Sus scrofa: one gene and its partners. The main gene of each other region encodes a partner of the protein of the gene in region 3 in a complex. Links are inferred from orthologs where the notes say so. Each region holds a gene or a part of one and is shown on either strand. Other genes may lie near its edges. The genes, in order: EPC1, VPS72, MORF4L1, PHF12, ING3, RUVBL1 and SIN3B.

Evidence for each region.
Region 1: MORF4L1 (region 3) and EPC1 share a complex: the UniProt entries of both Homo sapiens proteins name them as parts of the nuA4 histone acetyltransferase complex. The link is inferred for Sus scrofa from reciprocal best matches to the Homo sapiens genes MORF4L1 and EPC1.
Region 2: MORF4L1 (region 3) and VPS72 share a complex: the UniProt entries of both Homo sapiens proteins name them as parts of the nuA4 histone acetyltransferase complex. The link is inferred for Sus scrofa from reciprocal best matches to the Homo sapiens genes MORF4L1 and VPS72.
Region 4: the proteins of MORF4L1 (region 3) and PHF12 are in contact, whole or in part, in a cryo-EM structure (PDB 8BPA), measured with the Homo sapiens proteins. The link is inferred for Sus scrofa from reciprocal best matches to the Homo sapiens genes MORF4L1 and PHF12. Residues at the interface, in NP_996670.1 of Homo sapiens: Glu201, Lys204, Pro205, Leu207, Val208, Asp209, Trp211, Asp212, Tyr251, Ala252, Glu255, Val256, Gly259, Ile260, Glu262, Tyr263, Val266, Met267, Thr270, Gln271, Leu272, Leu273, Tyr274, Lys275, Arg278, Pro279, Tyr281, Ala282, Leu285, Arg304; in NP_001028733.1 of Homo sapiens: Cys62, Glu64, Gln81, Cys82, Asn84, Pro86, Pro204, Leu206, Arg207, Arg208, Pro209, Phe210, Leu212, Leu213, Ile214, Ala216, Ala217, Arg220, Asn221, Pro222, Thr223, Gln224, Phe225, Gln226, Leu227, Pro228, Glu230, Leu231, Thr232, Thr330.
Region 5: MORF4L1 (region 3) and ING3 share a complex: the UniProt entries of both Homo sapiens proteins name them as parts of the nuA4 histone acetyltransferase complex. The link is inferred for Sus scrofa from reciprocal best matches to the Homo sapiens genes MORF4L1 and ING3.
Region 6: MORF4L1 (region 3) and RUVBL1 share a complex: the UniProt entries of both Homo sapiens proteins name them as parts of the nuA4 histone acetyltransferase complex. The link is inferred for Sus scrofa from reciprocal best matches to the Homo sapiens genes MORF4L1 and RUVBL1.
Region 7: the proteins of MORF4L1 (region 3) and SIN3B are in contact, whole or in part, in a cryo-EM structure (PDB 8BPA), measured with the Homo sapiens proteins. The link is inferred for Sus scrofa from reciprocal best matches to the Homo sapiens genes MORF4L1 and SIN3B. Residues at the interface, in NP_996670.1 of Homo sapiens: Gln217, Gln219, Tyr222, Ser348, Tyr350, Glu351, Val352, Ala353, Pro354, Pro355, Tyr357, His358; in NP_056075.1 of Homo sapiens: Cys394, Arg396, Arg402, Ala403, Pro405, Lys406, Thr407, Tyr408, Ser462, Phe463, Pro464.

What each region holds. Positions count from the first base shown.
Region 1 is NC_010452.4:42,913,223-42,917,427, forward strand, and holds the start of EPC1 (enhancer of polycomb homolog 1), read right to left. Parts: upstream 2,801-4,205; 5' UTR 2,411-2,800; coding exon 2,258-2,410; intron 1-2,257. UniProt on the Homo sapiens protein: Component of the NuA4 histone acetyltransferase (HAT) complex, a multiprotein complex involved in transcriptional activation of select genes principally by acetylation of nucleosomal histones H4 and H2A.
Region 2 is NC_010446.5:98,060,911-98,065,060, forward strand, and holds the start of VPS72 (vacuolar protein sorting-associated protein 72 homolog), read left to right. Parts: upstream 1-1,350; 5' UTR 1,351-1,462; coding exon 1,463-1,579; intron 1,580-4,150. UniProt on the Homo sapiens protein: Deposition-and-exchange histone chaperone specific for H2AZ1, specifically chaperones H2AZ1 and deposits it into nucleosomes.
Region 3 is NC_010449.5:48,060,111-48,063,610, reverse strand, and holds part of MORF4L1 (mortality factor 4-like protein 1), read right to left. Parts: intron 2,097-3,500; coding exon 1,980-2,096; intron 1-1,979. UniProt on the Homo sapiens protein: Component of the NuA4 histone acetyltransferase (HAT) complex which is involved in transcriptional activation of select genes principally by acetylation of nucleosomal histones H4 and H2A.
Region 4 is NC_010454.4:45,133,256-45,136,755, forward strand, and holds part of PHF12 (PHD finger protein 12), read right to left. Parts: intron 2,893-3,500; coding exon of another isoform or gene 2,831-2,892; exon of another isoform or gene 2,491-2,830; intron 2,485-2,490; exon of another isoform or gene 2,337-2,484; coding exon 2,211-2,336; intron 1,550-2,210; coding exon 1,406-1,549; intron 427-1,405; coding exon 328-426; intron 1-327.
Region 5 is NC_010460.4:25,956,000-25,959,499, forward strand, and holds part of ING3 (inhibitor of growth protein 3), read right to left. Parts: intron 2,863-3,500; coding exon 2,766-2,862; intron 978-2,765; coding exon 906-977; intron 63-905; coding exon 1-62. UniProt on the Homo sapiens protein: Component of the NuA4 histone acetyltransferase (HAT) complex which is involved in transcriptional activation of select genes principally by acetylation of nucleosomal histones H4 and H2A.
Region 6 is NC_010455.5:72,238,381-72,241,880, reverse strand, and holds part of RUVBL1 (ruvB-like 1), read right to left. Parts: intron 1,016-3,500; coding exon 913-1,015; intron 1-912. UniProt on the Homo sapiens protein: Possesses single-stranded DNA-stimulated ATPase and ATP-dependent DNA helicase (3' to 5') activity; hexamerization is thought to be critical for ATP hydrolysis and adjacent subunits in the ring-like structure contribute to the ATPase activity.
Region 7 is NC_010444.4:60,788,861-60,793,008, reverse strand, and holds the start of SIN3B (paired amphipathic helix protein Sin3b), read left to right. Parts: upstream 1-1,348; 5' UTR 1,349-1,403; coding exon 1,404-1,511; intron 1,512-1,746; coding exon 1,747-1,853; intron 1,854-3,169; coding exon 3,170-3,323; intron 3,324-3,869; exon of another isoform or gene 3,870-3,934; intron 3,935-4,148.

The DNA of each region.
Region 1 (4,205 bases), on a different chromosome or scaffold from region 3:
TTTTTCAGCCAAAAATAATCAAAAAGTTTGTTTTTCTAAGGCTAACTCAGAGCTCAACTACTTTTTATTTGTGCTTAGCACACACATTTTCAGTATTTATGAATTACATTCAACACTATGATCTGTACCGCCTCTTCTTCCCCTCTTCCTACCAGGCTGAACCTCAGGACTGCAAAGCAGCTGTTCACCTGGGACTGCTTACACTCTTCTATTCAGCTATCTATTCCTGAGGTCTGTGTTTCACTGGTCTTAGTTTTGGTTGGCCGTGAAGTGAAACTGATTCTAAAGAGATGATGGCAAAAGGTAGTCTGAAGGGGAAAAAATCCCTTAAAAACAGACTACACGTGTTACAAGGGAATGATGTCCACTGTGCTATAAAACGTGAGAATGACTGCAGTGAACAAGAATTATCTGTCAAATTTAATAAACATTGATACTTCGGTTGAGCTCTGTTCTTGACTTCAGGTTGTGGCTCCTGGGACAGTCCAAAGTATCCACAGAAGCAAGACTGAACTAAATTTCTCAGTATACTATAGTGCTACCTGCTTTTATCAAGTCTCTCCCCTTCCTCGCCTGCAAAACAAAAACTACAAATGAATTTCCAGGGCAGTGTTAATATTGACACCCCAACTTGAAAGGAGTATCTGTAAAACTTATCAACAGAAACAAAAATAAAACCAAAAGACAAGATTCTGCAATCACAAGTACTTTAATTTTTAAAAACAAGTCACTTATTTAAAAGTCAACAAATGGCACCATTCTACTCTAAAGTTGATACAGGTAAAATAAATTAAGAGGTTCCTTCTCAAAGTCAGCACCGCGCTGGTGCTGCTACAACTGCTACAGAAGCTAATAAATGCATCTACTCTCAAAAGTAACACTCGACCGTCACAACTATTTGACTTTAAAAGGTTAAACAACCCAAACAGTTTAAACAGCTTTATTTTCAAAGTCATCGTTACAGAGAATAATTTCCACATTTAAAATTCTTACAGTACCAAATGGAGGTAATACAAGGCAATTTTCCAAAACCAATCTGTAGCACAAATCCAGGGACTCCTCCACTTCCTTGAACTGTCAATACACTGCACCCTGTTAAAATGGCTGTACCTGAAAACCAAGGTATGCAATTCCTCAGGATTACAAGTCAGCAAGTTACACTGTCAAGGATCTGGGGCAAAGGAGAGGCTTTTTCTATTATCCCTGTGTCTGAGCCCAACTTCCACGACAAGGGAAAGCCACGGCTACGATTAAAATGTCTGTATGATGCAAAACACTTAAGATAGAGACACCCACCCAGATTAAGACATCTCCCTGTTAAGACTTCGGTGCAGGAAATCACTTAACTTTTGTTCGGTTACGAATAAGAGCCCACCTTCTAAATTCAAATCTAGGACATCTTCTTTAAATGCGGTCTTTTCTCCTCTAGGTTGAGCAACCAGCAATCAGGCGGAAATAGGTTTGATTCGGGGAAACAAGTAATAATAAAGTTACGGGCTTTCAGAAAAGCCACCAACACGCCCCAGATCTGCAACGTATTCTCCAGGATCAAAGCAAAAGTCGGGAACAGAAGTAGTTCACCACCCACCCTCCGACTAACTGGAAGTCGGGAGAAGTGGATGCAAAAGTCCCGAAAGAGGACGGAGAGGAGGAGTCCGATCCCAGCCGCCCGCAGACCGGGACCTCCCGCGGCCCGCAGTCCCGCCGCCCCCTGCCCGGCCGCCGGGGCTCCACGTGGGGCCGCACCGCCGGACCGGATCGCAGGCAGCCGGGCGAGCAGTGCCCCGGCGCGCCCGGAACCAGCGCTCCCGGCGCCGGCGGCGCGCGGAGGCCGAGCCGGCCCCAGAGCGCCACCCAGCGGCCCGCGGAGAGGGCTGCAGGCGGGCCCGCCGCTGCACCCCCGCCGCCCGGCCCGCTCCCTCTCCGGATGCACCAGGCCCAGCCCAAGCGCTCCGACCACAAAATGGCTGCCGGCAGCCTTGTCACGTGACCCCTTTGTGCCTTTCGGGCGCCCGAACTGCGCGGGGCCCGGGTCCAAGGGGCCGGGGTCGGCGGGTGGCCCGAAAGGAGGCCCCGCCGGGCCGCGGCGGCCGGGGGTCGAGGCCGGGGGCGGCGGGGTAAGGGCCCGGCCGGCGCCGGGAGTCGGCGGCGGCGAGAAGATGGCGGCCATTTTGTGTGGGTCTGTGCTCCGCCGCCGCCGCAGGCAGCGGAGGGAGCGGGGCCTGGCGGCGGGTCGGACAGGGGAGTTAACACGTACCGACTCCTCTTCCTTCTCCATCCCGGTGGGCATCTGCGGCACGGCCCGGTTTATCGAGGCGTACTCGTGCAGGTCGGGCAGATCCTCACAGCGGAAAACCGGCAGCGGCTTCGAGGCGTCTAGCGCCCGCGCCCGAAACGACAGTTTACTCATCTCAGGCGCAGCAGATACCTCTCCGCTCTGGGGAAACGGCCCCGGCCAGCGGGATCATGGAGAACCGGGGGTTCGGTCCCCACTCGCCCGCCGCTGCCGGGGACTGGAGGGGCGGAGCGCGGAGCCCGCCGTCCGGGCACTCGAAGCAGCCGGGAGGTGGGAGGCCGAGCCGCTCCGCTCCTCGCTCGCTCGCTCTCCTCAATACGCCATGGCCAACATGGCGGACATTAAAACTCCACTGTGCGCTCTTCAGCCAACCCCAGCCATTCCCCACACTGCATCGCGCAGCGGCGCGGGCACGCGGGGGGGGCGCGGGCTCGAGGCCGGGCGCCGGCACGGAGCGCGCGTCCCGCCAACCCCCGGCGCCCGGCCCTGCTCCCCGCGCCCGGCGGCTCGGCCCCCGCCCCCGCGGCCGCGGGCGGACGGGCCGGGCGCCCGGACGCCGGGGGCCGGCTGCGGCTTCGCCGGCCCGCGCGCCCGCCGGCCCGCGCTCGCTCCCGCGCGGCGCCGTTTGCTGACAGGCCAGGGTGCAGGGAAGCTCCGCGAGGCGGCGGCGGCGGGCGGCGCGGGGTCGGGATGGCACCTGTCACCGCCGGCGGCCGGGTCCTGGGTGAGCGGGCGCCCAAGCCCCGCCAGCCGGCGCGTTGAGGCCTCGGAAGGAAAATGCAAAGGACGCTCAGGGCGCAACGCCACTTCGGGTGAACTTTTACCAGCCATTATGTTTGCGTCTAAGGAAACTCTGAATTGTATTTGATGGGCTCGCATCAGATCACGGGTCAGTTCCCATCACTGGGCTCAGTATAAGCAGGCGTCCTAGCTGCTCCAAAGTAGGGTTTAGTGTTTTGTTTCTTTTTTAATCTTGCATTTTATCGACCCATAGTCACTCTCTTATTGTCACTGAAGCAAAGGAAATAATTATTATCGGACACCGTAACCTTCAGGAAAAAAATTAAAGCAAGACCTACGTCAAAATTTTAGAGCCAACCCAATGATACAGCAATCCCACTCCTGGGCATATATCCGAACAAAATTCCAATTCAAAAAGACACATGCACCCCAATGTTCATTGTAACACTATTCGCAATAGCCAAGAATCAACCTAAACATCCACAGACAGGAACGGATAAGGAAGATGTGGTACATATACACGATGGAATATTGCTCAGCCATAAAAAAGGAACACACTAATGCCATCTGCAGCAACATGGATGGACCTAGAGATGATCATACTGAGTAAAGTAAGTCAGAGAAGGACTAATACAGGATACCACTTATATGTGGAATCTTAAAAAAAAGATACAAATGAACTTATTTACAAAACAGAAACAGGTTCACACATAGAAAACAAACTTACCAAAGGGAAAAGGTGAGGGGAAGGGATACATTAGAAATTGGGGAGTGACATAATACATACTACTATATATAAAATAAATAAAGAAGGACCTACCATATAGCTCAAGCACTCGTGTGTGTGCACAAACACAAATTTTAGAGTCAGGTGATTTTTCTGTACTGGAAGAAAATGCTGCTTCAGTGTAGCCATGGGTTGATATTTATCATCTGTTCTCTGAGAAACTTTATAAAATTATAGGAAGACCTATAATGCTCCTGCCAAACCAAAAAATACATTTTAAAAAATTAGAAAGAAAAACTGTACTATTAGAAGGGATTTAGATGGACTTGATGGCTATCGCTTGGTTTCTACCGCACACGAAAATGAATATCCAGAGCGCTCTTTCCAGCAGAATATTTTAAAAACCAGAGACTTTGGGGATAGGCTTAATAGGTTCGGCAA
Region 2 (4,150 bases), on a different chromosome or scaffold from region 3:
AACCACCTAAAAGTGTAGGTATTCTTATTAGTGTCACTTTACAGATGAGAAGATTAAAATTCAGGGAGGCAAAACAACTTGTCCAAAGTCACACAGCTAGAAGACCTTAAACTCAAACTCAAACTCAGGTCTGGCTGGCTCTACAACTCAGCTCTCAGCCATGCTACTATTCCGCCACAAGAATTTTGGACTTTCAGGCAGAGAAGGACAAACATCAGGAGTTCCCGTCTTGGCTCAGCGGTTAACGAACCCGGCTAGAATCCATGAGGACTCGGGTTCAATCGCTGGCCTCACTCAGTGGGTTAAGCTGTGGTGTAGGTCACAGATGCAGCTCAGATCCTGCATTGCTGTGGCTGTGGTGTAGGGCAGCAGCTGTAGCTGATTCAACCCCCAGCCTGGGAACCTCGATATGCAGCGGGTGCAGCCCTAAAAAGAAAGAAAGAAAGAAAAGAAAATAATAAAATAAAATAGATAATCAGAAGTTGCTTTGTGTAGGTCGAAGCTCTGGCTTGGATTTGATCCCTAGTCCTGGAACTTCTGCATGTCATGCGGGTTGCCGAAAAAGGGGGAATTTTTTTTTTTTTTTTTTAATTTTACTTAAGGAGTTCCCATTGTGGCTCAGTGGTTAACGAGTCTGACTGGGAACCATGAAGTTGCGAGTTTGATCCCTGGCCTTGTTCAGTGGGTTAAGGATCCGGCGTTACCCTGAGCTGTGGTGTAGGTTGCAGAAGCGGCTGGGATCCGCGTTGCTGCGGCTCTGGCGTAGGCCTGCAGCTACGGCTCCGATTCGACCCCTAGCCTGGGAACCTCCATATGCCACGGGAGTGGCCCAAGAAACCGCAAAAAGACAAAAAAAAAAAAAAAAACAACTTACTTAAAAAGACGAATGGGTATATGTATAACTGAATCACTTTTCTGTACACCTGAAATTAACACAACATTGAAAATCAACTATAATCCAATATAAACTAAAAACTAAATTTAAAAAACATTTGGACTTTACCCTGTAAGTCGACAAGGAAGGAGCCATTAAAGATTTTTGAGCAAAAGTGTGACAAAATCTGGGTTTTTAGAAAGGTTCCTACTGGCAGCAGAGTGGAAAACGAACTGGAGCAGAGGGAGACTGACCTCTTCTAAATGAAAATTTCTTGGCTCCCGATTTCTGCACTCAGTGTAGCGGGGTTTCTGGGGGTCACCAAATCGAAGTATTTCACAGCCCAGATGGGCGCCGGAACTGGGGCGGGGAGCTTGGGGTAGTCTCTGCGCAGGCGTGGGCGGGGCTGAAGCCGTGAGAAGATTTCGGGGGCGGGACTAGGAATCTCTCGACGCTCTGCTACTTCTGCCTGTAGATGACCGGCTTCCGCCGTCGCATGCCGCCCGCAGGTAGTGGTGTCGAGAGCCGATCCTTGAGGACCGCGCTGTGTGAGGGGTTGCTGGTGGTGGCGCAGTCTGAGTAGGCACTATGAGTTTGGCTGGGGGCCGGGCCCCCCGGAAGACCGCAGGGAACCGGCTTTCTGGTCTCCTGGAGGCAGAGGAGGAAGATGAGTTCTACCAGACGACTTATGGGGGTTTCACTGAGGCAAGAGCCGGGCCCAGGAAGAGGGAGGGAAGGAAGCTGAAAGGAGTCCTGAAGGGAGAAACCTCGGACAAAGAAGGGGGTGGGGGAAGAGAGGATCCTTGGTAGCTGATACTCGAGATGGGGTGGGCGAGACTGGAGGATAAACTGGAGTCCTGGAAGGGAGAGTCCTGGATGGCTGAAACCTGCTGTGTACTTCCCCAGCTGCATCTCTCATTGCACTTCTGACGTCTAGCATACAGCACATCGTAGTCACGCGGTGTATGCTCGTTGGCCCACTGCCTGGTTATTCATCTCAAGTATAGAAAAGAAATCTCTCTCAAGAAAAAATAGAGGCACTTAGCATACTCCTTTTTCAGCTTTCAGATCTCGGTGTAAATGTCTCTTGGGTAAATAGCCTTTCCTTGATTGTGCTAAGAAGTTTCTCCCTATATATCTTTCGTAGAACCTATTTCGATTTGTAATAGCTTTTGCTGGCTTGTTTATACTTTTCTATCAGATTGTAAGCGCTTTAAGGTTAGAGATAATCTGTTTTGTTTAACAGTACACATGTCCAATGCCTGGTCCAGTGTCCTCATTGGGTTGGCACTTGTTAAATTTTATATTGATTGAATCTAACCGTTCATCAAATATATTAAACGCATAGAGCAAGCCAAGAACTGTGATAGGCTTTAGGGAAACAGAGTATTAAAAACACCACTTTGGGGAGTTCCTCTGTGGCTCAGCCAGTTAAGGGCATGGTGTCACTGCTGCCGCTTGGGTCACCTCCTTTGGCACCAGTTCAGTCCCTGGTGGGGAAGTTGCACATGGCTCCAGCGCAGCCAAAAAGAAAACAAACCAAAAAACAGACCCCACCATTTTGTTCTGACATATTCCAGATTCCAGTGGGGGAACTAGCTGAATTAAGTCAGTTTAAATTCCACATGGAGCCAAAGTTGTTTGGGATAGGCATCAGGATAAGCTGAGGACCATATGAAAAGTGGCCTTGGCTGGCTGAATAGTGGTAGGAGTAGGAGCAGGGGAAGGAGGAGGGTTGGTCCAGCGAGGGGGTGGGGCAGAGATGTATAAAAACGCTGAGATCCTTGTCAGGGACCTGCATATCTACTGTCATTATCCAGACCATGAAGGAGAATAAAGGTTGGTCAGGCTGGAGGGAGTAGGCGTGGGCCAGATCATGGAGGGCTTGTGAGCCATGTTAAGGAGTTTTGCTCTTCATCCAGAGGACTGAGAATATTTGTCATAGTTTTATGATCAGATTTGTACTTTATAAAGATCACTCTGTATTGTGGATTTGAAGAAGGCAGCGGGAGTAGAGAAACATGATCAGGAGGGTTCAGGAGAAATTAAGGAGAAATAGAATCCACAGGACTTGGTGACTGATTAGGAATCATCACAACAACCCCCTAAGCAAGTAGTTTAAAATAGAACTTTCCCATCCCTCCTCCAAAGGCCATTTTCCTATTCCTGTCATTTTACGAGTTGTTATTTAATATGTACCCTTCCTTCTTCCAAAAAGGATTTAAGGAGGCTTACGATATAAACAAAAAGTAGGAACAGTAAAAATAGAGACAGATCAGAAGTAATTGTACCAAGAGCCTCAGCTAAAATGGTAGTAGCAATTGATTTTAAATTTAGCTGTGAGCTTCCTGGCAGCCAAACCCTGAATTTCTTTTTTCAGTAGGAAAGAAGCATACAAGTTCTTTAAGAGAGACAAACTTATTCAACATTAAATCCTAGGGAGAATTGCGTCCTTATATATAAAGTAACAGGGGTTTGGTAGATGATGTAAAAACAGTCTCTTGATTAGTCATGTCTATTAATGACCCTTGATAAAAGCCAAAGGAATGGTAGTAAGTCCATAACTTAGTGAAAGCATTTCAATTGGGCATTAAGCTAATGTGTAGTTGAACTGCTACCTCTGGTGATATGACTTAGTAGGGTCAGAGCTAAGGGGATTAACATGTTCCCAGGCTGTCTTTCACAAACATCAGTTGGGAGGAAATGATGGTCATCAGTGCAAGACTGAAGCTGACAGGCTTGGAGTGTCAACTGTCTGTTATTTGCTTGTTTTGGCAGTGTGTATACCAAGATTAGCCCGTTAGTCTCATCATTGATTGAAGAGAAAGCCACATGTTTGAAGTTCTGCCCCACCCAATTAACTCCTTCGCCTCCAAGTGATTTTTTTTCTTCTTTTTTTTGCCTTTTTAAGGCTGCACCTGCAGCATATGCACGTTCCCAGGCTAGCTGTTGAATCCGAGCTGTAGCTGCCAGCCTGCTCCACAGCCATAGCAACGCCAGATCTGAGCCTGGTCTGCAGCCTACATCACAACTCACAGCAAAGCTAACGTGACCCATTGGGCCCCGAGGCAACTTCCTTCTTTTCTAATCTTGTAGCCCTACAGGGCAGTCAGTTAATGTTGGAAGGAGGCTGTCTGTGCTAGCGCCAAAGACAATCAGCTAGGACAACTTCTTGCCAGAGATAACCTGCTTTACTTAGGTCCAAATCCTTATTCCCTAATCATGCTATACGCATTCCTGCTTCTACACCTTTGTTCCTGCTGTTTGATCTGCCCA
Region 3 (3,500 bases):
ATCCTTACAGTATAAAGATATCAAAAAGAATGTTGAATTTCCTTGTGGTGCAGCAGGCTAAAGATCCAGTGCTCTTACTGCAGAAGCTCAGATTACTGCTGTGACTTGGGTTCCATCCCTGGCCTGGGAACTTTCACATGCTGCAGGGGTGGCCAATAAATAAATAAATGAATTTTAATTTCAAAAAAATAAGGCACAGGAATCCATAATAAGCTGACTTTAAATTAAAGAACTAGGAGTTCCCATCATGGCGCAGTAGTTAACGAATCCAACTAGGAACCAGGAGGTTGCGGGTTCGGTCCCTGCCCTTGCTCAGTGGGTTAACAATCCGGCGTTGCCGTGAGCTGTGGTATAGGTTGCAGACGCGGCTCGGATCCTGCGTTGCTGTGGCTCTGGCGTAGGCCGGCAGCTACAGCTCCAATTCGACCCCTAGCCTGGGAACCTCCATATGCCGTGGGAGCGGCCCAAGAAATGGCAAAAAAGACAAAAAATAAAAAAATAAATAAAAAATAAATTAAAGAACTAAAACTGGTTAACTTTGTTACAAAGTTATGTAATTCTCTGTGTCTTAGTTTCATTACATATAAAATGAGGAGTAACAGTACCTATCTCATAGGATCATTATGAAAATTATACATGTAAAACACTTGAAAGTTTGACACAAAAAATAAACACTCAAAGGTATGTCAGACACATGTATCTACAATACTCTAATACCACCTAGATCAACTCAGCTAAGACTGTATATTGAAGTGTTACAGGAAGTTCCCTTGTGGCACAGCAGGTTAAGGATACAGCATTGCCTCAGTTGTGGTGCAGGCTGCTAATTGCAGCCTGGGTTGGATCCGTGGCCCAGGAACTTCCACATGCTCTCCCCTCCCCCAAGTGTTAAAATAGTTATTAAACCACATCATCTTTTTTTTTTTTTTGTCTTTTTGCCATTTCCTGGGCTGCTCCTGCGGCACATGGAGGTTCCCAGGCTAGGGGTTGAATCGGAGCTGTAGCTGCCAGCCTACGCCAAAGCCACAGCAACACGGGACCCGAGCCGCGTCTGCAGCCTACACCACAGCTCACGGCAATGCCGGATCGTTAACCCACTGAGCAAGGGCAGGGACCGAACCTGCAACCTCATGGTTCCTAGTCAGATTTGTTAACCACTGTTCCACAACACGGAACTCCAACCACATCATCTTAAACCTTCACTCACGAATACACCTACTTCCAACAGATAGCCACAAGAATGCCTTTCTAAATAACAAAAGGTAGAACCAACCACTCTCTTAAAATATCTAGTTGCTAAAGCATTCTGTCACTTGGAAAAGCTCCTTCAGGACTTCCCACTGTGGCACAGTGGGTTAAGAACCCAAGTGCAGCGGCTTGGGTAGCTGTGGAGGTTTGGGTTCAATCCCTGGCCCAGGAATTTTTTTAGGCCTCGCCTGGGGCATGTGGCCAGGGATCTTAACTGCACCACGGCAGTGACGACACTAAATTCTTAACCTACTGAGCCACAAGGAACTTCAAAACAAGGTATTTTTAAAATATTTATTTTATTGACATATCGTTGATGTTGTTAATTTCTACTGTACAGCAGAGTGATTCAGTTACACACACATATATATATATATATATATATACACATTTTTTTTCATAATCTTTTCTATTACAGCTTATCACAGGATACGGAATACAATTACCTGTACTATATAGTAGGACTTTGTTCAAAGCAAGGTCTCTGATGTGATTTTTTTTTCCAAAGGGAAAAACAAAGGCCAGGTTATTTCTTAGGGAATGCTGAACTTTTTGTGCAGATTCTTTTCTCCTGCTGATGGAGCTCCTTTATTGACACTATTAGATGTATTCTCAGTTTTTTACTTAATGACTTCCCACCTCTGACCTCTAAGATAGCCAAAAGTAGAATAAATAATAAAATGCAACCCTCAACATGATTTCCTTGAGAAAACTTTAAAACATGCATTTACCTAGAGGTCAGGAGGGGGTGGTGTACTGAGGGAGCTCCTTCAGGAACAGGAAAAAGGGCTACAATATCCTCACGTCTCTTCAAAGTTTTTTCAGAGCGCCTGGGCCTCACAGCACTTCTGATACAGACAGCATAGTACAAAGTAATCTCAGTAACTAGGTGTAGAATTTAGCTTAAACTTTATTAAGATTTATTTATAAATGGAATATTTAAATGTCTGTGTCAGTGAATTCCAATAAAGTTTTCCCCTTTTTAGGGCCACACCCGTGGTATATGGAGATTACCAGGCTAGGGGTCAAATGAGAGCTACAGCTGCTGGCCTATGCCACAGCAACGCCAGATCCAAGCCGCATCTGTGACCTACACCATAGTTCATGGCAACGCCAGATCCTTAACCACTGATCAAGGCCAGGGATCGAACCCTCAACTTCATGGTTCCTAGTCAGATTGCTTCCACTGTGCCATAACTCGAACTCCCCAATAAAGTTTTTAGAAATGTTACCTATTGTGCTTCTGAGAAAGTATATACTATTTATTGAAGTTTAAGAACATTCCAATTTGGAGATTGGGCTTTAGTTATACAATTTTCTAAAAGGAATTGAACAAAAAATGAGGATCTTACTTTTATTTATGTATCTATTTGTATTTGTTTCAATTCTAAATTAAAGGGAGCTAGCAAATTTTTATTTACCACAAGGTTCCATTTAGAATCTTGCAAATTCCAATATAAAATGCATCTAAATAATGACCTTGATCTAAAAACCACATCAATTTTAGAATTTCCTTCACATGTCAGGAGCTGAAAACCCTTGGGGAACTACAGAAAAATGAAACATCTTTTGCTCTGAGGAACATCACTATTAGGGTAGTAACTGAAGGCCAAACATTCCAAAGTTTTACATATTGCTAAAGCAAAAAAGAATTTCAGAATTTTCTAAAGGAGCTTGTCATTAACTCCCAAAGTCACAATGATCCACAGCACTTTGTACACTGCACTAACAACACACTTGCTGTGTATTTGAGTAACTCATCCTTCTTTCTGTATGAGTTTATGTAAAGGCTTCTCTAAATGCTTACTAAAGATCACAATTTTCAAAATTACATGTATTTATCTACATAGTGAATCAACTACAAAAAAACCCCCCACATCCTTGTTAATATTCCTCAATGTCTACAAAAATATTAATAAAGATCTCCAATATTTAGTGCCATTTAAAAAATTCTTTTTCCAAGGAGTAATACACAAAGTGCACCAAAAGCAAAAACAAAATACTATGCAGCTTATGGAATTCCCATTGTGACTCAGTGGGTTAAGAACACAACCAGTATCCATGAGGATACAGGTTTGATTCCTGGCTTCCTGCAGTGGGTTAAGGATCCGTTGTTGCCCCAAGCAGCAGCGTCCATCGCAGATGTAGCTGGGAAATTGCATTGCTGTGGCAATGGATGTAGGGTGGCAGCTGCAGCTTCAATCTGATCCTTAGCCTGGGAACTTTCATATGCTGCAGGTACAGCCCTAAAC
Region 4 (3,500 bases), on a different chromosome or scaffold from region 3:
TGGATCTGGTGTTGCTGTGGCTGTGGTGTAAGCCAGAGGCTATGGCTCCAATTCAATCCCATATTCCGTGGGTGTGGCCCTTAAAAAAAAAAAAAAAAAAAAAAAGATAGAATGCCTCACTGAGCAGCAGTCAGAACTGACTTTCAGCTCTCCAGATGCCATACTGGGCACAAGGCAAAAGGACCTGAGGCAGGGAAGACAAACAGCTGAGAGTTACCTTTCTTGGTCCCTGTCCAGACACCTGCTGGTTAAACCAGTGAGCCCTGAAGGGTGCCTCCCTCCTCCCTTCTAGCCTCTATGGGTGAAGGTATCCATCTTTAAGCTCACCTGTCCCGATGTAGAGGGTTCGATAGCACATGTTCACAGCTCCTCCCAACCCTAAGAGGGGGTAGAACACAGCTCGGGCCTGTACCTCCCTTCTCTGCACTACAAGGCAAACACAGGGATGTGATCATTCAGAAACAGAACCTGGGACCCAAACACGCATCAACAGAACCTGTGCTCAAACACAAACCAAAAGGACCTGGACCTCTGGCTCATGGTCTGGAGAAGATAATCCCATTGCATGAATCATCTCTCCAAACACACATCTGACACTGTGCTGTTTCAGGGGGAGGCTTTCTCTCCCCACTTACAGCATTTCCCACATGGGGTAATAAGAAGGACCATTTTTGAAGATGGCCATATAATTCAAGGACGATAATACTGGGAGCTCTTGGGCTGTTGGGTGGTTTATCAGAGATATTACAACAGATACTATAGGAAGGTTGTGCAAAAAAACCCAGAAAGCACAGACCAATGTTTCTCTCAGTTTAAATATGAATCACCTAGGGACCCTGCGTAGATTCTGATTCCATAGGCGTGAGGTGCAGCCTGAGCTCTGCAATTCTAACAAGCTCTTAGGTGATGCTGATGCTACTGGTCCGAGGACCACACTTCTAAACAGCAAGGCTTTTAATGGCTAATCCTCAAGAAGATACCCTAAGCAGAGTTAACCTTTTGGGAAGAATTTCCAGGAGGCTAGCCCAACTGTTATTGTTTCTAACCTTAAACTTGAAAAAGTACCTTTTGGGAAACCCTTCTAATTCAAATACTTGAAAGGAATTGAGCAGAAAACACACCACATATACCCAAAGGCACTCATAGCTGCTTTCTGTGTCCCCAAGTGGATGTGTATGAAAGAGTCACAGCAGACTTTCCCGAGTCTGATCTGAAAGCTGTGGCTGCCATCTTTTTTCTGCTTTCTGAGAAAAGAAACCATGGTGCTTCATTAAGCCCAGTAAAGGCAGACAGGGAGGACGGGAAGACTGAAAGCTGAGATTCCCCACGGAGGGGAGACGGCTGTTCACACATGCAGAGGGGAGCTCTAACGGTGGGCTGTGGTGGCAGATGTGGGCACACGCACCTTCTGTGTGGTGGCCTCCAGAAGCCAGCGGATGTGCCCCGACACTGCCCGGTGAAGCTTGGACCCGGGAGGGGAAAAGCTGATGTATTCTCTGCAAGGCCAGAAACTTGATCAGCTTCTCATCCAGCATATTTATCTCGATTTCTATTAACCAAAGAAAAAGATTAAAAAAAAGCAGCTGAGGAGGAAATGGAAGGTGGAAGGAGGTGAGGGTCAGACAGCAAATATTTCAGCAATCCTAAAATTAAGCCAAATGATGTTTCCCAAACCAGAGTACAAAGCGGTACAAAGATCTGGAGCCGAGCATCTCACTAGGCATGTGCAATGCGAGGCCCTAACACGGCCTGTGCAGACACCTCCCCAGTGAGGTAAAGTGGCCCTAGAAAGGTGAAGACAGAGCACTTGCCTGCCCGTGGGGAGGGCCCAGATGTCTGATACAGAGGCGTGGAGTTTCCACCCTCCCACTGTTCATAGTGATCCTGGCCTGCCCGGTTCTCCCTGATTTCGCGGGTTTCTCACAGATGAGGTCCCTATTTTGGGGGTGAGGCTCCTCCTGGTCTTATTCTTCAAGCCCAAGTGATCTGCCTAAAATGCCTTTCTTCTCTTCTCACTGGTTCCACTTGGCTCTGATTATGTGTGTATGCATGTGCACAAGGCAGAAACTCAAGGGGCTTTCTTTCCTATCCCACCGCCCAGCCCTCTGAGACCCCACAGCCCTCTGGCCCTTTTCAATGAGCTGAATGCTGCACAGGGGCAGCACCTTCACCATGGCAGCTGGTGGTGGAGCAGCAGCTCGCTCACTCACCTCCATTGACATCCATAAATGCTCGAAGTGAGTTGGTGAGGTCCACCATGGCAGTAGAGTTGGCTGGGAAAGAGGGTACGGTTAAAGCGCTTCCTATGGATAACGTGCCGGGGCTGACCTTGCCATCTGGGGACGGAGCAGGAAGACTGTTACTTACGTCGCCTCAGGGAAACCCACCGGTCCAATCCCCCACTGCCGAGATAGGTCTGGATTTCGGACCCAAGGTGATGTTCCCTTCTTGATTCTCACCCCATAGGCTCTGGAACTCCTAGAGCTAAAAACGTGTGGTGAGGAAGGGCAGGTGGAACGACAATGCACCCGGGCACGCAGGAGTCTCCAGAGCACCAAGAACCAGTGAAACCTACTGCTCTGGGGAACATGGTGGGACAGCTTCATTCTCTGGGCCATGACTACCTCCCTGCTGCCTCTACTCACTCAAATAAGTGATGCCTGCCTCCGCAATTCCTGGGTACTGAAGCAGAACTCACGGGGTGCAAAATCTACCTAGGTTGGTGTTGACAGAGAAACAGGAAAAGAGCCTGAGAGTAGGGGCCATCCTGGGACCAGGGGCCCCCATGCAGAGAAGTCACAGTCACCTGGTTACCGAGACTCCCAGCTGACTAGGAGGCCAGCTTCAGTTCAGTCGGGAGAGACCACAGGGGGTTCCAGCAGCATCTGAAACCTGGTTCAGATGCTGGCATCAGCAACCTTGAGGTCCTGAATGCTGACTGGGGACAGCTGAAAGAGCGGGTCCATACCAGGCCAGTTATGGATAAAGGGACTGCCTTTTGGCATGTGGCCTGAGGGCAAACATTTGGGCCAGACCAATCTCTGTGGGCATCCCACTCTGCGTACCCTCAAAGGCAGTGTTATTTTATATCCCTAATTTCCCTGACATGGAAATTCCTTCAAAATGAGCCAGTGCCGAGGATCTGGATCAGGTGTGGGTCAAGAAGCACTGAGGCCATAGCCCAGAACCACAGGCTGAGCGCAGGGCTCCAGAGAGCATGCTGCTTTCCTCTAAGGTGATGGAACCAAACAGGCAGGAGACTAAGTCTGGAAGGGGTGGAAAGGTGGAGTCAGGAGACCCAGGCTGTCTTTATAATCCTGCTCTGACTTGGCAGGCCACCTTACGCAATTACCACTTTAGCTTTCAGAGCCTACGCAGTCCTGCCTATAAAACAGGGACAAGTTAACATGTACTTTCTCTTCTATCACAGAATTGGGGCGGGGGGGGCGGTGTGGAGGACAAATAATAGAGATCAGAGTCCTCCGAAATATTCACAGGGA
Region 5 (3,500 bases), on a different chromosome or scaffold from region 3:
AAACTTCTTTTCAGGTATATGATCTGTTGTTGTATGGTGAGAAGTTGGATTATATTTCCTTTCTGAATATAAATAAAGAATTTATGTGTTTTTAAATTTTAGAGAACAATGGAAAAGGCATAATACTTTCATCTGGTCATAAGCCAATATAGTAATGACCTGAGTTCCTCATGGAATACAGAACATTATGTTTTCCTAGAAGACAAGACAAACAGAATCCTGTCTCACACGTGTTCCTAAGAGCAGACTGCGTAGACAATAAACTTTTTTGGAGTAGACACTAAAAAAACTTTTTTGTAGCAATGTACTGAAGATAACCCGTGATGCACATGGTTTAACATATAACATGTGGGGAATTTTGTTTTCAAAACATTTTCTACAATTTAAAATAGTCTTCCATCAACCTTTCTTTCATAGCAAAAAAATGCACCGATACAGTCATCTAGCCAGCTAGCATCTGACAGACCATTCATTCACTCACTAACTCACCAAACTATTTGAGAATTTACTATATGCCAGACAGTAAGGTAAGCACTAGAGAAGCAAGGATGAAAAAGATAAAGAGCCCATAATTGTGGAGTTTACTGTTCTGCTCAGTTATAATGCTCCCTGGAGAGAAGCAGGTATCGATATGCAGTGAGTATATGCTGCTATTAGTACCACACATCGCCCTCTGTGAATCCCAGGGAAAACAGGCTACCTGTTCCCAAATCACATCTGCTCTTCCCAAATGAAGAAGATAAATCCACCAGTAATTGCATGAAAAAACATATCTCACAAAATAAAAGGGGAGGATATTTGTTTCTCAATCAGTCGTGTAGAGGTAATGAAAGAGAACATATAGGTAATACAATGAATTTTCAACTGTCTTTAAAATAATTTTAGCTGCCCTAAATCAAACTTACTTTCCACTGGCGTATGTGAATGAGCATGGTGATTGTTCACGGGCTGTGAAGGCGTATCTAATTCCAGAGATCCTAAAAAAACAGGGAGGCACAGAGATACAGGGCCATGAGATCGCAGCAGAGAACTTTATGTGTCAATCAACTACAGGCACTGGGTACCCTTAACCAGGAGATGTCTGGCAAGCTCTGATGCCTGTGTCTGTATTATTTTAGCCAAACACATTAGAGGGTCACCACCGCCAATTTCACCCTGAGCCAACCTCATCCTCTTTCTAAACAGTAAGTAATCCATTTTTCAGTGCTCACCTTAAGTACAAAATAGGTCAAGGCACGCTAATGTCTAATTAGGGAATTCATGACATTTGGGACCATGTAAGTGGATGAATGAGTATCATGATTCCATTACTGATAAGAACTGAAAAACTCAACATAGTGTTATTGAAGACCTTTTAATAGGAGATCCTAAAGTATTAGGCAATGGGACATCACTGTATGAAAGAAAATTCTCTGATCATTAAAATGACATACGATAGCAAAGACTTTCTAAAAGAAGGGATTTTGCTCATGAAAAATGATGCATAAAATCTTTACCGCCAAGCTTTAAAATACTTTTGAAGAAATTTTCTGGGTTTATCTAGATCCCTTGAGATGAAATCATGGCAGGGCGCAGGGTGGAGCCATTTTTTAACTTGATTTGATTTAGTTTCATATGTCTGTGTCCTTACAGAGGATGCTTCATTAACCTTCCTGCAGTACTGAATAGCCATGGATTACTGTTACTCACAATTATTATTGGCATTTCAGAAAAATAAAATATTTTATTTTGTCTCAAAATAGCTATTATTCTTGGTAAGGGTTCCCCTGGAATAAAAACATCACAATAAATTAGATGGTCATCTAAAGTGATGGGCTTATTTTTGAATACAAAAATGCAACTGTGGGTACATTCATATCCGGTTGCTTCCCTAGCTGACTTCTAGTGAATACATAAACAGGGATATATAACCTAGCACCGTAAAGAAACCTTTCACCTGTGTGTAGAAATAGGTACATGTTCTTGCTATTGAAACGCACCAAGAAAAGAGATATTCGAACCCTTTAAATTCTAGTAGAAATCAGCCATAATGCTGATTTGATTCAACTAACATTTAGTGAGTGCCTACACTGGGCTTGCCACCACACTATCTGATTTGATGGACATTATCCATTTAGGTCGGAAGTGATGCTAAATTAGTTAAAGAAACAGAGCTCATGTCTCCATTTTAGGGAAGTCTCCTGAGTTAAACCCAAGAAGTGATAAAGGTAAATTATAGCGGGAGATCAAGACAAGGCTTGCAATGAAATATTAAAATGGCTTCTTACTGATAAGAGAAAGTTTAGAAAAGACTTTTTTGAGAAAAGGAGGAAGTGTTGAAGAACTCTTTAAAATCTGAGTAACACAGTGGAGGAAAAGCTTTTTAAGGCAGTTCTTAAGAAAAAATAACAACCTTCCTCAATACTTAGGTGCATAAACAGGCAGGGCAAAGTCACAACATCTAACGACAGATGGCTACCCTGCTTCTAGACGGTTATATTTCTTTAAATCTTTGTTCTTACCACTCTTCTAACTAGCATATACGCGTATTAACAAATGGAATGACCTAAGGCTTTATTTTCAGGAAAAGTGAGTGGTTGATATACTGCATCATCTCTCCAAGTATCCATGACCCAAACAGTCCGACTGCTGGGGACCAAGCTATACCACCCAGGTGCCACTGTTCACCAAAGAGCAGATGGAAAAGTCTCTGTGGGACGTGAGTCTCCTCAACGACGTGCACATGTACTGTCCAACGGTGATGGAAAACTGTAAATTTTACTTACGCCTCTCTAATATTTCTGTAATTCCAGCATTATCAGCTTCCAGCTCCATTTTAAACTTAGCCAGTTCCTGATCCAGCTTTCTCAAGTGTCGATCTACCTGTTTCAAAGAAGATCAAAGATAACCACCACAATTTGGGACACTATTAAAGTGTCAGTTTAATGAGGAAATCTAAATTTCTATTTCTTTTAGTGAATGTGCTTTTGCATCCCTGAGCAACTCAATTAACCTATACTGCAGGTTTTTAATCTACAAAATGAGGGTGCTAGGATAAATATCTCCCACGTCTCCTTGAATAAATTTTAAGAAACCAGAATTGCAATTTGTTAAAAAATGTCTGAAAGACGTAAGATGTAACTGATCCGAGAGATGAGGGGGTTAGTAACTTTTCACAGTATACCCTGGGGTTACTTTCAGCCTAATCTCCTACTTATAACAAGGCTATCCACACTGCCAGACCATAGTAACTGTTATTTAAAATAAGGAATGAAAAGATCCTCAGTCTACAAACAAAGAGGCTCCTATATTCCATACATACGTTTCTCTAAGGCAGGAAAGTGAACCATTATGCTTGTAAACATTTATGTAAAGGGTTGAGACAAAAGGGGTTTTTAGTAAGCAAACTCCTTTCCACAAAGAGCTTGGTCAAAATGGTTTTATTGTAATACTACTGCCCTTCGTTAAGGTGGCAAAATTGTTTTCTCACTAACCTAGAGATCTTTGAATTGATTTCAGAA
Region 6 (3,500 bases), on a different chromosome or scaffold from region 3:
GGGGTGAGGGTGGGCAGAGCAGATGGCTGGGCTCAGCAGGGTACAACCTGGCTTTGTGTCTTAGACTCAGTGACTCAGCAATTAAAATGGCAAATAACTGGCTGGAAGCACCAGAAGGGGACTGGGGATTCCCAGGGTGCTGAGGCACTGTGTGGCACAGTTGCTGCTCCATCTCCAGATCAAGCAAGAGGTGAGTGTGCAGGGAGAATTGGGACTGTGCCCCTTGGGATAAGGCCAATCTCAGGCATCCCTGTCATCTCCCACTGTGAAGCCCAACCCAAGTTGAACTCATGCAGAACTGAGCATGCACTATGCCGGGCACTGAGCTAAGTGCTGTGTGCCTCCTTCACGTCTCTTACTGTAAGGTTAGTTTTATGCCTTCCATTCCACCTGCCCTCTACGCCTATGAGGCTGCTTCACTACACCCCTAGGGCTTCAGCAGCAGCCCCAGGAAACCCTCCACTGTGACCCTGTCACAGCAGATGGGCTTTGCCAGGATTCAGGTTCTGTACCTTCCAGAGCTGACCTGCCATGGGTTCCAGTGGACCAGAATGCCTGGCTTTGCCCCTGGGCAGAAAAGGCTGTGGACAGGCTCTGGGCTGGAGGCTATCACAATCTGATATTCTAATGCCTCTTTCCTAAAGCTGGTGGTCTCCCTAATAGCTGTCATCAAGTTGATTTTCTCACTGTCCATTTCCTGTTTACCAGAAGGGACAGAATAGAAGCGAGAACAGCCAAGACCATAGGCACTTCAAGCCCAGCCATTGCTCAGATGGGGGCCAAGGCTCCGAAGCACTGAGACCTACTGTGTAGCCAACTCTGTGGTGGGAGGTGGGGTAGCCAAGGCTACTCTGCAGGCACTTTCCTCCTCAGCATCAGGGACACTGAGAGTGAAGGAGGGAGGCTGCTCACCTGTTTCATCTCCTGTGGGGTGTACAGCATGGTCCGGATGATCATCACTCGGTCCAGGAGGTCAAGAGGGATGCCGTGAGGAGAGGTGATGTCCTCCGTTCCCCTGCAAAGCCCAGAAAGACCACATCACTCAGGCCTGGGAGTGGAAACAGGCCCTGGAACCATGGCTGAGGCACTCAAGATGACAAAGCAGCTAGTTCCTGTCCTGAGAGTCAGAGGCAGGACCGCAAAGGGCACAGACTAACTCAGGTGGCGTCAAAAACAACTTCAATATTTTACCAAATATCAACACCACAGGACACTTGGGGAGGAGGAGAAAAAGCTACTGAAAATCATATTCAAAATATCCATATAGGTATTTGCCAAATTTTCATAAAGTACATTAAATACATAGACTTTTGTTGTCGTTGATGCCTTTGTCCATGTTACTTCAGTCTCTTAATAACCCATCAAGTGTCCACCAAAGTGCTGGGCATCTGGGCAGTTTCCATTTGTTACTGCTACTATTCATGGTGCTTTGATAAATAATTTTATACATTTAGCCATGAAAATTTCCTTAGCAACTCTCGTGGAGCCTGACACAACCCCGAGTATCTTCTTGGACAAATGAATGAATAAACCAATGTCCTAATTTATGCAGCTACTCGAGTAAGCTGATCCCACCACACTGTAGTCAACAGTGAGTATTCTAATCCTTAGTTTGCTGCTTAAAGATTTAGAAAATGGAAAGGTAACACATTGTCTGAATCTGTATTTCCTTGATTACTAAAGACTCATTTGAATATTTCCCATGTATTCATTCGTTATTTCATTTCTTTTGAGGAACTGTCCAATCATGTCATTTACCTAGCTTTTTCTTGAATCCTTAGCCAAGCCAGAGAACAGCCCAGGAGAAGATGCCTGCCAACCTGCCAGGCCACATGGCACCAGTTCTGGATGGGACATGTGCCAGGCAGGCCCCAGTGGCACACAGGCCATGCTTCCACCACATCTGGAAGCCCAATGAGCTGAGCCAGGGCTCCAGCTTCTGCCTTCAGGAGCCAGAGCAGCAGTTCTGGCCTCCCCACTTGATTTGTGTCCATGGTCACAACTCATCAATATAACAAAGAACAAAAGCAGGTCACTTGGGGTTAACTTTTAATATTGGAGTACTCAGTTTCAAATGTAAGTAAACATTCTAGAAATATAACTTCGGTAAAAGAAATCTGTTGAAATTCTATCCAGTCAGTTCAAGTACAAACTTGTATTTATTATCGCAAAAATAAAATGCTATCCTGACCCAGGCTACAACAGTACGAACCTTGAAAAGGTTATGGTAAGTGAAAGAAGCCAGTCATGGACAGGCAGACACTGCATGATTCCACCTATAGGAAATATGCAGAAAAGGCAAATGCACAGGGCAGAGTAGATCAGAGGTTTGCCAGGGGCTCAGGGAAAGGAAAATGGGACTTACTGCTTAAATGGGGACAAAGCTTCTGGTTTGGGATGGTGGAAAAGTCCTGGAAACTCTTCCAGATGATGGTGATGGGGCTGTACAACACTGTGAATGTGATTAATGCCACTGAATTTTACACTTAAAAATAATTAAAATGGGGAGTTCCCATTATGGCTCAGCCGTAATGTACCCTATTAGCATCCATGAGGACGAGAGTTGGATCCCTGGCCTCGCTCAGTGGGTTAAGGATCTGGCATTGCCATGAGCTGTGGTGTAGGTCGCAGACATGGGTTGGATCTGGCATTGCTATGGCTGTGGTGGAGGATGGCAGCTACAGCTCAGATTTGACCCCTAGCCTGAGAACTTCCATATGCCACATGTGTGGCCCTAAAAAAAAGACAAAAAAAAATTAAAGTGGCAAACTCTATGTTATACACATTTTGTCACAACAAAAACAATTCAAAAAAAGAATAAAATTATACATTAATAATTGTAACATTAATAACTAAGACCTTTCCAAATAAAAAGAGAAGTAGACTAATAACAAACACAAATATTAAGATAACTTTAGAGAAAACAAATCTTCACCAACAAACATTTCTAAAAATAATAAGGAAGAATTAAAGAGATAAAATTTCATCATGATTCAAATCTGAGTATTTGGTATACCTTCAATCTTCATACTAAACAAAATATCCTTTAAAAACTACATTTAATTTTTAGTTATTTAATTTTTTTCTTTTTAGGCCACCCCATGGCATATGAAGTTCCCAAGCCAGGGATCAGATCAGTTGTGACCTATACTACAGCTGTGGTGACACCCAATTCTTAACCCACCATGCGGGCAGGGGATTGAACCTGGGTCCCAGTGCTCCCAAGATGCCACCAATCCAGTTGCACCACAGCGGGAACTCCCAGTTATTTAATTCTGCTTTGGCCATGTGTTTCTTTTTTAAAAAGTCCTGTTTGGGTGGAGTCCCCATTGTGGCCCAGTGGGTAACGAACCTGACTAGTAACCATGAGGTTGTGGGTTTGATCCCTGGCTTCGCTCAGTGGGTTAAGGATCTGGTGTTGCTATGAGCTGTGGTGTAGGTCACAGACATGGCTCAGATCCTTAGTTGCTGTGGCTATGGCATAGGCTGGCAGCTATAGC
Region 7 (4,148 bases), on a different chromosome or scaffold from region 3:
GCTACAACTGCCAACCTACACCACAGCCTTAGCAACTCAAGATCCAAGCTGCATCTGTGACCTACACCACAGCTCACAGCAATGCCAGATCCTTAACCCACTGAGTGAGGCCAGGGATCGAACCCAAAACCTCATGGTTCCTAGTTGGATTCATTTCCACTGTGCCATGACAGGAATTCCCAATAACTATTATATTTGTATGTTCTCTCTGAAGTATTTGTTACAAGTGAGCTTTACATCTATGTATGTGATTATTTGATTCCAATCCTCTTGAAAGGCTGATGGCTCTGTGAGTGTAAAAGCCTGGTCGGTTTTGTTCACCCTTCTACTCCTGACCCCTGGCAAATGATGCACTTGTTGCCAATGTATTCTCAGCTTTCCTGCACCTCTTCACACATTGAAAAAAAAGATACTGGAGTTCCCATTGTGGCTCAGTGGTTAATGAATCCGAACATGAGGTTGTGGGTTTGATCCCTAGCCTTGCTCAGTGGGTAAGGAGCTGGTGTTGCCATGAGCTGTGGTGTAGGTCACAGACGCGGCTTGGATCTGGCATTGCTGTGACTCTGGCGTAGGCCAGCAGCTGCAGCTCCAATTAGACCCCTAGCCTGGGAACCTCCCTATGCTGCGGGTGCGGCCCTAAAAAGACAAAAGACAAAAAAAGAAAAAGAAATAGGAAGACCTTGGAGGTTTGGAAGCAGCTATGGAATGATAGTTCTTGATAGCACTGGGGCTGGAAAAACTGGTTAAGAGGCTCCCGAACCAGTGGGAGGGTCCAGTGGGGAAGTGATAGGGTCAGGAACCAAAGGCTCCAGTGGGGAAGTCATGGGGTCAGGACTAGAGAAGCGAAGAGAGGAGGAACAGGACTAAGTCAAGAGCAATTTGGCAAACCCCGTGGCCCTGAACTAGGGTGCTGTGTGCCCATACCAGGTTGTCACATCAACCCTACAAGTACGAGTCAAGAACATTTTATTATATATCAGGCTGTGTAGATCTTAGCGTCTGTCGCAGTTATTCACCCCGCTGTTGTACTGCAAAATTAGCCAGAGATGACAGGTAAACAAGTGGGCATGCCTATGTTCCAATAAAACTTTATTTTTGCAGACACTGAAATTTAAATTTCATAGAATTTTCACGTGTCACGGAATAGTCTTCTCCCTTGGATTTTTCTTCCAACTTTTAAAATTGTAAAAATTATTCCGATCTTGCTTTGGGGGCCAGACAGAAGCAGGCGGCAGGTTTTGGTTTGCTCACAGTGGTATATGTCAGGACAGTCGCGTTTCAGTTTTATGGGGTAAGATCCTACCGCAGAGTCCTTGAAAGAGCCCCGCCTTCAGGGCGGAGCCAGCGCATGCGCGGCCGGCCCCCGGGCGGGGGCGGGGCGGGCTGTGGCTCCGACTTCCAACATGGCGCACGCTGGCGGTGGCGGCGGCGGCGGCCCAGCGGGCCGGGGGCTGAGCGGGGCCCGCTGGGGTCGCTCGGGCTCTGCGGGCCATGAGAAGCTGCCAGTGCACGTGAGTGGCGCCCCAGCTCTCCCTCGAGCACCCCGTCGTCCAGTTCCCGCAGGCCGGCGCCCCCCACCCAAGCCCCGCCCGGCCCCGGCCCCGCCTCGGCCTCCTCTCCGCGCAGCCCCAGACCCCCGACTCCCCACCTCCGCTCCTTGAGGCCCAGCCGGTTGCCCCTCCCGCCAGGGTCCCCCGCCCCCTCCTCCGCAGACCGCGGCCCACCTGGACTTTCCCCTCCCCGCAGGTGGAGGACGCCCTCACCTACCTGGACCAGGTGAAGATCCGTTTCGGCAGCGACCCTGCCACTTACAACGGCTTCCTGGAGATCATGAAGGAATTCAAAAGCCAGAGGTACCTGCCGGGCCCCTGCCCACCCCAGGGGACCGTCCTGGGCCGCAGTCAGCCTGAGCTGGGTGGGAGCCCCTTACCCTGGCTGCCCCATGACGGGGTGACCTTGCCCAGGTGGTCAGAACTTAGCGGATCCTCAGTTCCTTCTTAAAAAAAAAAAAAAACTGGGACGGGAGGGACCCCCCGGGAGGGACCCCCCCCCCTTCACCCGCCCCGCCGTGGCCCTGTTGTGGGGATTCCTGGACCGAGGGCAGGGATGGGGTGAGGCAAGTGAGCAAACACAGGGTAGGATCCCGTCTTTACTCAAAATGTTGATTTTTAAGTGAATTTCATTTTTCGAGGCTTTTTAAAAGTTAATTTTTATCTTTTGATCAAGCAGTGCATGAAAATGTTATTAATTTTGGTTATCGACCGTATTGGCACTGTGTCCCTCTTAAATCTTATCCCCAAGGTGAGTTCCTCACTCCCTTCACTCCAGTCCCAGGCCTACTTGAAGTAATGCGCACAAAATGCTTAGTAAGGAATCTGGCACTAAGAAGGCATTTAAAACATGTTAGCTGTTTTCACAGGCACTGAATCAGGAGGGTTAGAGATAGATGGGAGACCTCCCTCCCGATGGTGCTCTTGTTGGAAAGGATGCTCATTGAGGCTTAGAGTGGGTCAAGGGGTTGTCCAGACCCACCTTAGGGGCAGAGGCGGGACCAGAACTGGTTCTGTCTGACTTAGATTCGCCAGTGTCACATCCCCTCCGTGCTGCTTCTCCCTCTAAGGAAACAGGGTAGGGCCCACCTGGTTGCCTTCCACAGGCACAAGGCTAAAGCCTTGGCCCTGACTGCAGCCCTGAGGGAGACCCCATCTCTGCCCTCCGATTCTTATGCCACTTCCATACTTGCATGGCCTTTGCATTATAGTCAGTTGCTGGGAACAACTCCAGTGTCATAGTCCATCTCTAATTCATGCGAAATGGAGGAATTTATCTCCCCTTTAGAGGGTTTTGACATGTCACTTCTTGGAGCCCACAATTTAAAATTGGCTCTCCTGACATTTTCAGAACCTAGCACATGTGCTTGCAGTGTTTTGGGAGCCGTGCTGTGTACATATTCTGTGGATTTTGCCAGGAAGGCACTGGGAGCCCAGGCCTGGCTGCCTTAGCAGCGGATCACCACCAGCAGAATCACTCCAGTCACATTTTAGGGTGGTTGGTTCTTTGTCCGTTGAGAAGCTTGTGACATGGCACGGTTAAGGGAGTCACGAGTAGATTTCTCTTTTAATCTGCTCCCCAGGACGCCTCTGCCCACTCTTGTTCTTCTTTGTTCTAGTATCGATACTCCAGGAGTCATCCGGCGAGTGTCACAGCTATTCCACGAACACCCTGACCTCATTGTCGGATTCAACGCTTTCCTTCCTCTCGGCTACAGAATAGACATTCCCAAGAATGGCAAGTTAAACATACAGTCGCCTCTGTCGAGCCAGGTATGCGGCTGCCGTGGTTTGAATGATCTGACCTTAGCACAGCCCACCCTGGTACGCAGGCCGGGCAGCGTGTCTCGTGTACTTCATTGCTAGAAAGGTGGTGAAGATCTGGTCTTTTTCCTGAAATGCTTCTAACGCAAATCAAAATAGATCAAAACACCTACCCAGGCAGGCTCTGCATCCCAAATTGATCCTTTTGGCAGATTTAAATCAGGAGTGGATGTGTTTGTGCGTGCCAGGGAGGCATTCTTCTAACACAGTTTTATGTCCAGTCAAGATAATTGTGTCCACAGTCACTGAAGTCTTGGTTGGAGGTTCTTCCTCTGAGTGCCTTAGGCAGGCCTCACTTGTACTTGGGCCTGTGGCCCCTTCTGATCACCCTCAGTGCCACCCACAAAATAAAAGCAGCAGAGGTGCATGTGTGACTAGCCATTTTTGTTGCTGTGCTTCATTTACCTGCTGACAGGATCATTGACTGAGCTCAGGCTTGTGGCTTTGGTCCCTTCTTTCTTAAATGACAGCTTGCTGCCTCTTCTGTCTCTGCAGTCCCTCCTTGCTTGAGCTCACCAGACTCCCTGAGAAAAAGCCTGTTTGAGCTTTACTTTTCTAAGGTAACCATTGTCTTTTTCTCTCCTCGACCCTGTTGCCGTGTAAGGCATAACACTTTGCTGTGGGGGTGTTGTCCAGGGCATCATGGAGTGTTTAGCAGTGTCCCTGGCCTCCACCCACTAGATCCCCACCCAGTCAAGACAGCTAAAAATGTCTCCAGACATAGCCAAGTGTCTCCTGCGGGCAAAATTACTGCGTTGAGAACCACTGGTGTAA